Linked DNA regions of Cricetulus griseus. Each later gene encodes a partner of the first gene's protein in a complex. Links are inferred from orthologs where the notes say so. Each region holds a gene or a part of one and is shown in the gene's direction. Other genes may lie near its edges.

Region 1 (3,662 bases):
ACACACACACACACAAACACACACACACACACACACACACACACACACACACACACTCACACACACACTCACACACACACATAATAAAGTGAAAATAAAGAAAAATAAAGAGGATGGCAACCCAGGAAAATGTACATACAAGTATTAAATATGTCTTATATGTGTGTATATATATATACACATGCATATGTACTTCTTGAGTTGGCTCTTACATGCCTACCGTGTTTCTTTATTACATGTAGATAAACCCTAGAAAGACACAGCATGGAAGGCATTTTGAGGTCCCAATGTATACTATGTTTATACATACAACTTCTCTGAGTATAGTATATAGTGTTTTGCCTCCATTCTTTCTGAAAAAAATATGAATCAAATAATCAAAAATGTGCAGTCAATGTTCTTGCCTTATTTCCTAGATAATCAAAACAAAACATGTCTAAGTCAGATCAGCATCTTGGACAAGGTCAGAGTGCAGGAAGTGACATTCTTGTTTCTTATGAGCCAGTATGAACCTCCTGCCAACCATTCCCCAATGTTATTGCTTTGTTTAAAAAGAAGAAAAGAGAAATACTGATAAGACTATCAGTTTATTATAAGGCCCAACGTGGGGCGCCAAAATGTTATTGTTTGTTTAAAAAGAAGAAAAGAGAAGTGCTGAGACATGAGACATAAGACTATAAGTTTATTATAAGGCCCGGCAGAATGGGGAGACTAAGAAGAGGAACAGGGTAAATGGCTGACCGCCATGGCCGGTCGCCATAGAGAGACAGAGCGGGGAAACAGAGAGAGGGGACAGAGAGCGGGAACAGAGCGGGACAGAGAAACAGAGAAACAGAGAGAAACAGAGAGCATAAAGGGGCAGGGACTTATCTTTTAAAGGGGTCCTCTGCATCTGTGTGCAGACTTAGTTCCCATGGAACCTTGGGCTGACCAGGGCACTGCCTGAGTGGATTCCACCAGGTAACAGGGGCAGGCCAGCATAATGCCTGAACCTTTCACCCAAGTTTAAACCATACCCTGGCTTCCACCTAAGTATCTCTTTCCCACACCACAGTGATCCAGACAACAAGCAGGGCCGGATTTGCAGTTCAGTGACTCTCAGTGCATCTTATCTAAGCAGCAGCAGCCTCTGAACTAGAGTCTAGAGGATCTGTTGTCAATGAGACTGCCACTTCAGTTATCAGGATGGGAGGACTCAAGAGTTACTGCTTACCCATCTCTGCTTACTCTTCAGACACACCCTCTGTCTTCTGTTGCCCATATTTTGCTAAATCAATATGGTAATAGCATGGGTTAGGCACATAAAGTTGTGCCAGGCATTTTGAGATGCCCTTTATTTAAACTATGCCTTGAACTAGTCACTAGTTCCACTGGTTCCAAGTGGCACCCCTGGTAGATGTGCTTTTTTTTTCATGCCACTGTATTGATGAGGAAATCAAGAAGTGCAGATGTCAGTGACTTCCTTAGACTCCAGCTGCTATCAAGTGAACAGTGGGATTGAAAGCGGTACCCTCTCCATTTTACAAAGCTAAGCCAACTGTGCTAACGTTGATGATGAGAATACAGAAGGTGAAGCTGTTGTTAGGGAAACAGTGTGATGAAGTGGTTGTGAGAATGCCATCTGCTACAGATTTTCCGGAGCCAGCCTTCCATAAATCACCTAGTCTTTGCATCTTTACTTTCCTGATCTCTAATATGGGGAATGCATCACAGTATGAATGTTGTGAAGACTGCAAATACTCGCAATAGTACCTTCACCTACATATGGGTGTGCATGATCACATTAATCCCTCAGCACTTGGCTCCTTTACCCACTTTTCCATTGAATTTCTGATGTCAGTTCAAATAGAATAGCTTCCCTGAACCCTCTTTATTCCATCCACATGCCGGCCACTGTGTCAAGACTCTTTCTGGTTCAGCATCCTCAACTCTCTAGTGTATACTCCCTACAGAAACTCCAGTGTACTTCCAAGCATTGCAGCTGTTTCAGTATGGACATTTTTCTCTGTTAGTGCTGTGTTTGAAGATAAAGCCCTTTCTGTGTTGCTTCAGTGAAATTGAGACTATGCAGGATCGGGGCTTTGGCACATCTGCTTTTAATAAAAGCCACTGAAAACCAGTGATTTCCAATCCCTCCTTCTGAAGCACTTTTTGAATACTGGGGAAGGAAAAGCATTAAAATCAGAAGTTTAAGGTCATCTCTAGCAACATAGGAAAGTCAAGAACGGCCTGAGCTACAGGAGACCCTATCTTTAAAAGTAAAAAATAAAACTAACAAAAAATAATTTGATGCCTTTGAATATGACTCTTGAAAAATAAAAAGACAGCTAGCAGGGGAGTGATGTTGGAATCTGCAGAGAAAGTTAAGCTTGCTAGAGTAGTGAGAGGACATTACAAGGATGGCCAGGTATGCCTGTGGGGCTCACAGGTGCTGTGGTGTTTTGTAGGTTCTGGCTGGCGGTGGAGGACCTGAAGAAAAGGCCTATCCGAGAAGTACCCTCTCGGGTGCAGGAAATATGGCAAGAATTTCTGGCTCCTGGGGCCCCCAGTGCCATTAACTTGGATTCTAAGAGTTATGATAAAACCACACAGAATGTGAAGGAACCAGGACGATACACATTTGAAGATGCTCAGGTCAGTACATGGTCTAACCTCTCAGCATGAGGCCAACAGCTCTCTGCAGTATTTAAAGTTCAGTTTAAAACTGGACATAAACCCAGGTTCATTTCCTGAGGACAGAACAAAGACATTTCAGATTAAGTCATCTTTTAAACCCCTGGGAATATTTGTTTGTTTTGGTTTTTTGAGACAGGGTTTCTCTGTGTACCTTTGTAGACCAGGCTGGCCTTGAACTTACAGAGATCCACCTGTCTCTGCCTCTCAAGTGCTGGGATTAAAGGCATGTGCAGCCATCACCCGGCAACTTTTTAAAATATAAATTTAGTGTTTATTCACGAGAATTTCATGGGCCATCCAGGATACTCTCACATCATGCATAACTGTACAACTAACTGAGGTTTCACTAGATTTGGAAGGCAATGGAACATGTAAGTTCCCTTAAAGTGCTGGAACAAGAGCAGAACTTCCCACGTTTGGATCAAGTTGCAGTTAAATGAACATATTGTTTTCTTTGCTTGACTTCTTCATCCATCAGCAGCCATTTGTAGAATGCAAGAGCAGCTAAGGTGTAGCTCATCAGTAGAACACTTATCTAAAATGCATGAGGCTCGATCCTCAGTTCAAAGGGTAGGGAACAGTGAGAACCCTGCACACTTATTAGGGACAGGTGACTAACATCACCATATAAGAAAAAAAGCACAGGGATTTGGAAATTTGTCATTTAACTAACCCAACAAGAAATTTCAGACCTGAGCTTTGAGCTAAAGTAGGTATAGAAGATAATTTATCATGGATTGGTCCCAAGAGTGAGATCTATCCAGGCTGCCTGGCTCTCCCAGAAGCTATAGGTGCCAGGGCCTCCAGGATGACTATACAGTCTCGATGTCACATCATTCACTTTGGCCTTGGAATCATTTTCAAGGAAACAGATTTATTTCATTTCTCAAATGTTCCACATAAATTGTCACATTGATTTCAAGTTATTTCAAATGTCCCCTTGACTAAATTCTATTATTAAAGAGACCACATATAGTTTCTCCCTC
Region 2 (4,360 bases), on another chromosome or scaffold:
TGGGTATATGCCTAAGAGTGGAATTGTTGGATCTTGTGGTAGACTGATTCCCAATTTCCTGAGGAACTGCCATACTGATTTCCAAAGTGGCTGTCCAAGTTTGCACTCCCACCAGCAGTGGAGGAGTGTTCCCCTTTCTCAACATCCTCTCCAGCATAAACTGTAATTGGTGTTTTTTATTTTAGCCATTCTGACAGGTGCAAGATGGTATCTCAGAGTTGTTATGATTTGTATTTTCCTGATGTCTAAGGATGTTGAGCACCTTCTTAAATGTCTTTCAGCCATTTTAGATTCCTCTATTGAGAATTCTCTATTTAATTCTGTATCCCACTTTTTAATTGGATTGTTTGGTGTTTTGGTGGCTAGCTTCTTGAGTTCTTTGTATATTTTGGAAATCAGCCCTCTGTCAGATATGGGGTTGGTGAATATCTTTTCCCATTCTGTGGGCTGCCGTTTTGTATTGTTGACTGTGTCCTTTGCCTTACAGAAGCCTCTCAGTTTCACGAGGTCCCATTTATTAATTGTTGATCTCAGTGTCTGTGCTACTGGTATTACATTCAGGACGCGGTCTCCTGTGCCAGTTTGTTCAAGGGTACATCCCACTTTCTCTTCTAAGAGGTTCAGTGTGGCTGAATTTATGTTGAGGTTTTTGATCCATTTGGACTTAAGCTTTGTGCATGGTGATAGAGCTTGAAGTCAGGGGTGGCGATGCCTCCAGGGTTGTTTTGGCTATCTTGAGTCTTTTGTTTTTCCATATAAAGTTAAGTGTTCTTTCAAGGTCTGTGAAGAATTGTGTTGGTATTTTGATAGGGATTGCATTGAATCTATAGATTGCTTTTTGGCAAGATATCCATTTTTACTATGTTGAACCTACCTATCCAAGAGCATGAAGATCTTTCCATTTTCTGGTATCTTCTTTTAATTTCTTTCTTTAAAGACTCAAAGTTATTGTTATACAGGTCTTTCACTTGCTTGGTTATTATTACCCCAAGATATTTTATGTTGTTTGTAGCTATTGTAAAGGGTGATGTTTCTCTGATTTCTTTCTCAGCACATTTATCGACTGTATTGTGGCTGCAGCAATCTCAATTCGAACCCGAGTCACAGCACCAATGTTAGCATAAAGCTTTAGGGGGACCTTGGTTGGGGGACAATAGCACATTCCATGGCAGGTGAGGTTGACTGAGTCAAAGGGAGAAACATGCCAGGCAGACAGAGCTTAAGTGAGAAGTTTTATTAGAAAGGGGAGGGAGAAAGAAGGAAAGAGAAAAGAGGTCAAGAGACACAGAAAAAGAACTGTAGAGTAGAGGGAGACAGGAAAGGTCCTGTCTGCCCAGGGGAACAGTGGAAAGAGAGCGGAGAGAGAGGAAAGAGCAGAAGAGAGCAGAGAGAGAGGAGAGCAGAGAGGGAGAGGAGCCAGAAAGAGCACAAAGATCAGAAAGAGAGTAAAGAGAGCATAGGGGGGTGGGGGTCTGTCTTTTAAAGGGGTTTGCACCTGCATGCAGACTAGTGCTCATGGAACCCTGGGATGACCAGAGTACTCAGGATGGCCTGAGTGCATTGTGCCAGGTGACGAGGTAGGGCAGCATAATGTCTGAATACCAACAATCCCACCTTTATTTATTATTGAAAATGTGAGGAGTTAGGCATGACAGGTTAGGAAATAAGGAGAAAGGGTCAAAATCTCCTGAGCAAATTGGGAGCACACTGGGAGGGGAGAGGTAGTTAGGAGCAAAATAAGGGGAGAATAGGAAGGGGCAGGAAGACATGAGGGAATAGGAAGATTGAGTTGAGGGAAGAATAGAGAGAGCAAAAAAAAAAGATTAAAGAGAAAATTGGCTCTAGGGAAATATCCACAGTTATACTACAATGACCCCAACTATGAATCTAAGCAATATTAGTTCAAGTTAGGGAACAAGCTTGTTTCACATGTAAGTCCCTTCTCCCTCTCCCTCCCTCACCCCCATCCCTCCTCCCCTACCCCCAACCTACCCCCCACCCCATCCACTCACCACTCCCCAGGCAGGGTAGGGCCCTCAACAGGGGCTCTGCAAAGTCCACCAAATCTTCCTGTGTTGGGCCTAGGCCCTGTCCCATGTGTCCAGGGTCAGAGTGTAACCATTCACGTGGGATGGGCTCTCAAAGTCCCTTCTTGCACCAGGGAAAAATACTAATCCACTACCTGAGGCTCCCTGGAGTGCAGAGGCCTCCTTATTGACATCCATGTTCAGGGGTCTGGATCAGTTTTGTACTGGCCTCCCAGACAGCATCTGGGGTCGATGTGCTCTCCCTTGTTCTCATGATAGGATAAGGGCAATTAAGATAGTCTCTCCCCAGGAAATAGAGGAGCAGAAATATTGACTTGGGGGAAGAATAGAGGAGAGAGAGCAGGATGAGAGATAGCATATCAGAGGGAGCCATTATAGGTCCGAGAAGAAATCTGGAACTAGGGAGATCTCCAGAGACCTACAAGGATGACACGATCTGACAATCCAGGCAATGGTGGAGAGGATAACCTAAAAGCCCTTCCCCTAAAATGATATTGATGACTTCTCTTTATGCCATCCTAGAGTCCTCATCCAGTGGCTGATGGAAGCAGAAGCAGAGACCCACAGCAAAACATTGAGCTGAATTCTTGGAATCTAGTTTGTAGAGAGGGAGGAGTGATGAGCGAAGGGGTCAAGACCATGGTGGGATAATCCACAGAAACAGCTGACCTGAACAAGGGGAAGCTCATGAACAGCTTAGGATGGAACCAGACACCCGGCATGTGGGTGTCAGTTAGGAGGCCTGGGCAGTCTATGGGGCCCTAGTATTGGAACAGCATTTATACCTAGTATTCAAATGAACATTGGGAGCCCATTCCCCATAGAGGGTCGTCTCAGCCTAGACACATGGGGGAGGGCCTAGGCAGAAGAGAGATGGGGTGGGGTTAGTGGGGGGGCATGGGAGGGAGAGGGAACTTGGATTGATATATAAGATTGTTTATAATTTAAATTTTAAAAAGGAAAAGGATGGTGTATGCTTAGAAATGGGGACTTTTGTTACTTTGTTGTTGTTGTTTCTCTGTAGCTTTGGAGCCTGTCCTGAAACTCACTCTGTATTCCAGGCTGGCCTCAAACTCACTGAGATCTGTCTGTCTCGGCCTCCCAAATGCTGGAATTAAAGGCGAGCGCCATCCCTGCCAGGCATAGAACTTTGTTACTTCTTAAAAAAAAATGTGGCTGCTAGCAAACAAACCTAAAACAAAAGTTCAAATTGGAAATATTTTATTGTTAGAAAATGTACTGGTTCTGATAACATTTGCAATGATAGATAAGTGAGTTTTCCTGTTGTGAGCAATACTGTGACCGATTATATTGCTGTCTTTTCTTCTCCGTAGTGTATGCCAATCAAAGGCCTAGGATTTGTTCTTGGAGCCTATCAGTGTATCTGCAAAGCAGGATTCTATCATCCCCGTGTCTTCTCAGTGAACAACTTTCAGAGTAAGTGTTCTTTGCCTCTAAACATGTGCATGTTACACACACACACACACACACACACACACACACACACACACACACACCATGCCTGCTGACAATCATTCAGATAATCATTTCACCTTGTTGAAGTTACAAGGTCAAATCCACATCGGCTTGGCTTTCTTAAAACACTTGCAAGTTTTTTGTTTGGGTTTGGCATTTTCAGTGCTGGGGTGGCTGTGCATGAAGACATGTGTGCTTGTATGTATTTTAGTCTTCAGAACATGTAAAAGCCTGAAGATGTTATAACTCTTGGAGATGACCTAAGTTTTAGCTTTTGAGAATTGTTACTTGTTCAGTCCAGCTAATGAGTTTGGTTCATACCTGAGAAGGGGAGTACGGATTGAGGAAAGAAACAGGCTAGAGACAGAAGATAATGTTGGGAGGGCGCCCAGTGAATACTGATATCTGCCCTAGTTTATTGCTCAAAGTTCTTATATGCCCCAACCAAAGGGGGAGGGGCAGAAAGACTTTCTTACCAATGATACAAGGAAAAAACAGATGTAATTACTTCCTTAATTCTCTAAGTATCTAGTAATCACACCTTAGATCAAACCTGTTGTTTGGCCTTGAAGATTAAGTCATCTTGTCAGCATATCTTAGATCAACTATTCGGTTATCTAGGGAAGGCATCATTGAGCACACCTTAAGCCACATGTTAGACCTTTAGGTCTTAGGCCTTTAACATTGAAAGAGCAAGGCTAGGTTTGAACTCTCTGACCTTTAGTCAATATTTAATGGAGTCATTTCTATGAGCCTGACAGTTACTGGAAAGTTTCTAAAACTTATTTTGCCCATTTATTTTATTTGTGCATTTTATTATAAGTTACTTTTCAATA
Region 3 (4,146 bases), on another chromosome or scaffold:
GGTTTTCACTTCTGTCTCCTCCCAGTCTGCCTAGAAGCCAGAAAGCTAGAAGAAATTCTGGTAGATAAACAGTCCTGGGTGACCTGTCCAGGCTCCCTGTCTTAGCTGTTTAGACAGCCTGGCTGATCTTGCCCAGCTAAGCAGAGAGCAAAACTAAACTCCAGTGCTCCTGAGCCCAAGCCTGCTGGGCCTGGTAGGAACTGAACAGAAATCCTGACTTCTTTTTTTCAAAGTACATTGCATCTTATCCTTGCCAAAGGTGGCTATTATCAGGCTTCAGATCACCACCAAAAATGTCCTCAGCCCTGGAAATCAGTCCCTGCCTGTCTCAGAAGAGTCACCAGGCTGAGCTCAAAGCTGTGGCTCACAAGGGCCCCCATCTGGTAACAGGTGGTAATGCACCATCTCCTGATCCGACAGGAGTGCTGCGCCCTTGAGGTACACTGACGTACATGTAGACAAAACACTCATCTACATAAAATAAAATAAATCTTTAAATTTTTAATTTAAAAAGGTGTGTTTATTTTATGTATACTAGAGGTTTGCCTGCACGTATGTCTGTGCACCATGGGGCATGCCTGATGTCAGTAAAACCAGAATAGGGCATTGGCTTCCCGGAACTGGCATTACAGAGGGTTGTGAGCCACCATGTGGGTGTTGGGAATCGAACCTGGGTCCTTTGGAGGATCATCAAGTGTTCTTCACCAGTGAGCCCTTGCTCGCTATACATCTACACTTTATATGAATACACTTACACTTATGTAGCATGTTTTATACATCCATTTAATAAGCTAGCATTAACTGAACTATTTATTTTATTTACTTTGGTTTTTCGAGCAACTTCGGTGAGCATCAAAAGAGTCACCAGGGAACCTAAGCCCAGGGAAGTGTAGGTGGAGAGGAGCCACTGTAGTCTGTTACTCTGTCACCATAAGCAAGACTTCATTCCAGAGGAAAGGACGCCTCCGACTCCAGCAGGGTGTGCCACCGACCCCTACTTTTGCTGCCCCATCCCAGGACCCCGGCAGCCAGAACTCATTTTTAAAAGAATGTTTCTGGCTAGAGGGTTGTGGGACAGGTTTCTGACGCATCCTGCCTCAAGTCCCCAGGGATGCAGAGGGCTGGGTTGTGTCGACTTCTCTAGGCTCCCCTGGAGCGAAGAAAGAGGAGTTGGGACCACAGCTTGTTCTGTGAGCCTCAGTTCCCCCAAGCCTCCACCCCTTATCCCATCCAGGGCATAGCCCCGCCTGGTTCTCAGGGAGAGCGCGGAGGGCGGAGCCGGGGAAGTCTGCCACCGCCGCGGTCGCGTCACCGCCAAGGGGGCGGACCCGGGGAGGCGTCCGGGGTCACGGAGGCTGCTGCTGATCCCGCCCTCTCGGCCACCCCGGCGTCGGCTCTCAATCTCCCGCTTTGCGTTTGTCTCCCGGCTGCATCCCGACGAAGATGGCAACCGATGGGCTGCACGAGAACGAGACGCTGGCGTCGCTGAAGAGCGAGGCCGAGAGCCTCAAGGGCAAACTGGAGGAGGAGCGGGCAAAGCTGCATGACGTGGAGCGTGAGTGCGAGCCGGGGGTGGCGGGGAAGCTCTCGTGGGCCCGACCCTCCGAGGGGCTGGAGGACCCGCGTGGGACCGGTTCCACCGCCCGGGGTGGGAGGATGCTGAGCCCCTCCCAGGGGGCGGGTGGAGAGGCGCAGCCAGCAGGTGTGCCGGGGCGGGACCGCTTTACTGCTCCCCGTTGGGACTCTGCCCCCCGTTAGATCCTTTCTCCCCGCGGATATGAGGCTCCCTTTCCCGTGTCTCCACTGTCCGTGGGGGCAGGGAGCTTGATGGCGGAGGGAAGCGGAGACGCCTCCTGCATCCACGCGTTCAGCTTGCGGCAGGCCCTTTAGAAGCCTTTGATGGATGCCGCGGTTGACATAAAAGGGCCAGCGCGGTGTAAATAAACTTGCCGGCGTGCCCGCTTCCATCCCGGTTCAGAACAGGGGTGGTCAGAGAGGGGTGGTCCTCCGCAGAGCTCAGAGTGGAGACCCCGCTTGGGCAGTGGTCTTACCCGCTCACCCTCCCTTGCAGAGCAAGGCTTGTTAGCCAGCAACCCCCCACCCCGCAAACACACACACTTATGTGTGGTGTCCCCGCCTTCCTAATTGGTCACAGCCTTAATTTAAGTTCCATTTGGAGAAGGGAACTGGGGTTCAGTAAGGGGCCTTTAGCATTTATTTTCCCTGAAACTTGCTGGAAGTACAGAACCCCTGTTATGCCTTCCCAGGGACCTTCTCTTGTTAGAAGGGCAGCCCGCTTCTGTGAGATTTCGAAATGTGTCCAGATGTAATTAGTTAAATTGTGAGTTGTTTTTCTGGTAACAAGATCAGGTCTGGTGCAACTGCTTGGTGCTTTGAAGAGCCCAGGCCTTTCCACACCATCAGCCATTGGCATTTACCCAGTGACTCCAAGATGACTGCCATTGCTCCAAACTTTGCCTCTGTATCCAAAGCAGGAAGAAGGGAGAATGTGAACCCCGGGCTCTTTTCCTTCTTAGGGAGAAAGCAAAATTTTTCCCAGAATTCCTCTCTTCCTAAGATTTCTATTTGTACTTTATTAGCCAGAACTAGGCCATGTGGCCTCTGCCAGGGAGTCTGGATAAAGGGGGCCCATGCTAAGCACATTGCCACCCCAAAGTTGAGAAGTAGGGAGTGGAGACATGGGGTCAGTCTCTCCTTCCCCTTTTCAGAGCCTTGTAGGCTGAAGGTGGTGATGTTGTCTCAAGCTTGGTTTAGTGCCTCAGACTTCTCTGTTTGACAGCTGAGGAAATGGAGACGTTCCTTGGCCCTGTGGCTTGTGCATTCATTTTGAAGTGCTACACAGGTGGCCCTTGTGACATGAGCCCCTCACTCTAGAAACCCCACCCACCCACCCACGGGGGGGGGGTGATCTTGTCTTGCATCCTCTTACTTAGAGTCCTACTCTGACCATAGTCTCTCCCGGATCCTTGGGAACCCTGGCTTTCCCCTGGAGCCCTCAGCCCTGACCTGTCTTCTATCCCTTCCCTAGCATCAGCACAGATACTTTGATTAACTTCCAAAAGTCTTGCCAAGGGACCATGACTCTATCTGGTCCTCCTGCCTCCTCCTCAGCCCTGGATGGACCAACAGCCTTCCTTTCTCCTGCTGCTGGACTCATGAGGCTGCTGAAGAGGAGGCACCAGGAGGCCTCTGTGGCCAATGGCTAAGTCACCCTGTAGTATCTTCAGACAGCTCTCTGCCCTGGCAGTTGTCAGCCACTTAGCATTCTGTGATGGCCTCTGTCCTTTTACTTCCTCCCCCAGAGAAAATGGAAGGTAGAAAGCTGGGCCCTGAGTTTATAGATCCAACCCCCCTTGCACACCTGACTGACTCTTCCTGTCTAGGAGTTAACTTCTTCCCACCCCTAGTCTTTAGTTTTTCCTCTATCTCTGCCCCCTGCTTCTCTGTCAACAGTCTCTCTCTCTCTCTCTCTCTCTCTCTCTCTCTCTCTCTCTCTCTCTCTCTCACACACACACACACACACACACATACACACACACATACCTCTCTTTTTCTCACACAGTTTGCCAGCCCCTGGTGTGTCAGGCTCTGTGTGCAGCGAACAAATCAAGAATGTTCCCTCAGAAGGCTTTGGTCCAAAGCTGGGAGTCAGGCATTCAATAGGTAAAATAAGTTCTAGGCTATATATGTTCTCTAGATAGAAAGGAGGGGGTAAGGAAGAGAGAAATGAGCTATGGGGGAACTCAAAAAACTCGCAGAGACTGTGACCCAGGGTGGCTCCTGGGAAGGATGTTTGAATGCAGATTCCTTACTTGTATAAAAAAAGGATAGACTGCCACAGTGAAGAGAGTTTGAAACAAAAATCAATGCAAAGCTGTTAAGTGTGTGTGTGTGTTTGGGGGGGGGTTGGTATAGTGAGCCAAAGCTGAGGCAGGGGAGTATGCTCGCTGTACTGGGGGGAAGCTGAGGCCCTGTCTGGAGAGGCATACACAGTGGCGGGGTAGGAGGTGGAGTTACAGTGGGGGGCTGTTGAGGCCTGGTGGGACACAGTGAGGTCTTGGTTGCTCTTGCTCTCTCTGTCTCTCTGTCTTTCTGTCTCTCTCTCTCTCTCTCTCTCTCTGTCTC

Evidence for each region.
Region 2: the proteins of Rgs7 (region 1) and Gpr158 are in contact, whole or in part, in a cryo-EM structure (PDB 7SHF), measured with the Homo sapiens proteins. The link is inferred for Cricetulus griseus from reciprocal best matches to the Homo sapiens genes RGS7 and GPR158. Residues at the interface, in NP_001351815.1 of Homo sapiens: Gln35, Ile43, Ser55, Arg109, Phe110, Thr112, Pro113, Tyr114, Phe115, Lys134, Thr136, Lys140, Ala141, Arg142, Leu143, Leu145, Ala146, Asp147, Ala150, Leu153, Gln157, Trp164, Phe168, Met169, Gln170, Glu172, Ala173, Gln174, Lys176, Val177; in NP_065803.2 of Homo sapiens: Leu507, Lys508, Phe510, Leu511, Arg513, Thr514, Tyr595, Tyr598, Ala599, Thr602, Val603, Pro604, Ile714, Arg715, Leu718, Lys719, Tyr722, Leu725, Glu726, Tyr728, Lys729, Arg730, Met733, Ile734, Thr735, Asn736, Asn737.
Region 3: the proteins of Rgs7 (region 1) and Gnb5 are in contact, whole or in part, in a cryo-EM structure (PDB 7EWP), measured with the Homo sapiens proteins. The link is inferred for Cricetulus griseus from reciprocal best matches to the Homo sapiens genes RGS7 and GNB5. Residues at the interface, in NP_001351815.1 of Homo sapiens: Pro19, Leu22, Val23, Lys26, Val30, Ile72, Val76, Glu77, His80, Leu81, Leu84, His88, Val207, Asp213, Ile214, Lys215, Lys216, Leu258, Gln261, Ile262, Trp265, Gln266, Gln268, Leu269, Arg271, His272, Arg273, Leu274, Lys275, Met276; in NP_057278.2 of Homo sapiens: Leu57, Glu60, Ala61, Glu62, Leu64, Lys65, Leu68, Glu71, Lys74, Leu75, His76, Asp77, Val78, Glu79, Leu80, Val83, Leu90, Phe93, Arg98, Arg99, Leu109, Lys117, Arg118, Ser134, Phe135, Trp149, Met151, Leu167, Tyr197, Ser206.

Annotation. Positions count from the first base shown.
Region 1 is NC_048598.1:18,546,911-18,550,572, forward strand, and holds part of Rgs7 (regulator of G-protein signaling 7), read left to right. Parts: intron 1-2,447; coding exon 2,448-2,634; intron 2,635-3,662. UniProt on the Homo sapiens protein: GTPase activator component of the RGS7-GNB5 complex that regulates G protein-coupled receptor signaling cascades.
Region 2 is NC_048596.1:212,158,107-212,162,466, reverse strand, and holds the start of Gpr158 (probable G-protein coupled receptor 158), read left to right. Parts: upstream 1-1,515; coding exon 1,516-1,569; intron 1,570-3,382; coding exon 3,383-3,485; intron 3,486-4,360. UniProt on the Homo sapiens protein: Metabotropic receptor for glycine that controls synapse formation and function in the brain. Acts as an atypical G-protein coupled receptor that recruits and regulates the RGS7-GNB5 complex instead of activating G proteins.
Region 3 is NC_048597.1:186,571,889-186,576,034, forward strand, and holds the start of Gnb5 (guanine nucleotide-binding protein subunit beta-5), read left to right. Parts: upstream 1-1,318; 5' UTR 1,319-1,443; coding exon 1,444-1,555; intron 1,556-4,146. UniProt on the Homo sapiens protein: Enhances GTPase-activating protein (GAP) activity of regulator of G protein signaling (RGS) proteins, such as RGS7 and RGS9, hence involved in the termination of the signaling initiated by the G protein coupled receptors (GPCRs) by accelerating the GTP hydrolysis on the G-alpha subunits, thereby promoting their inactivation.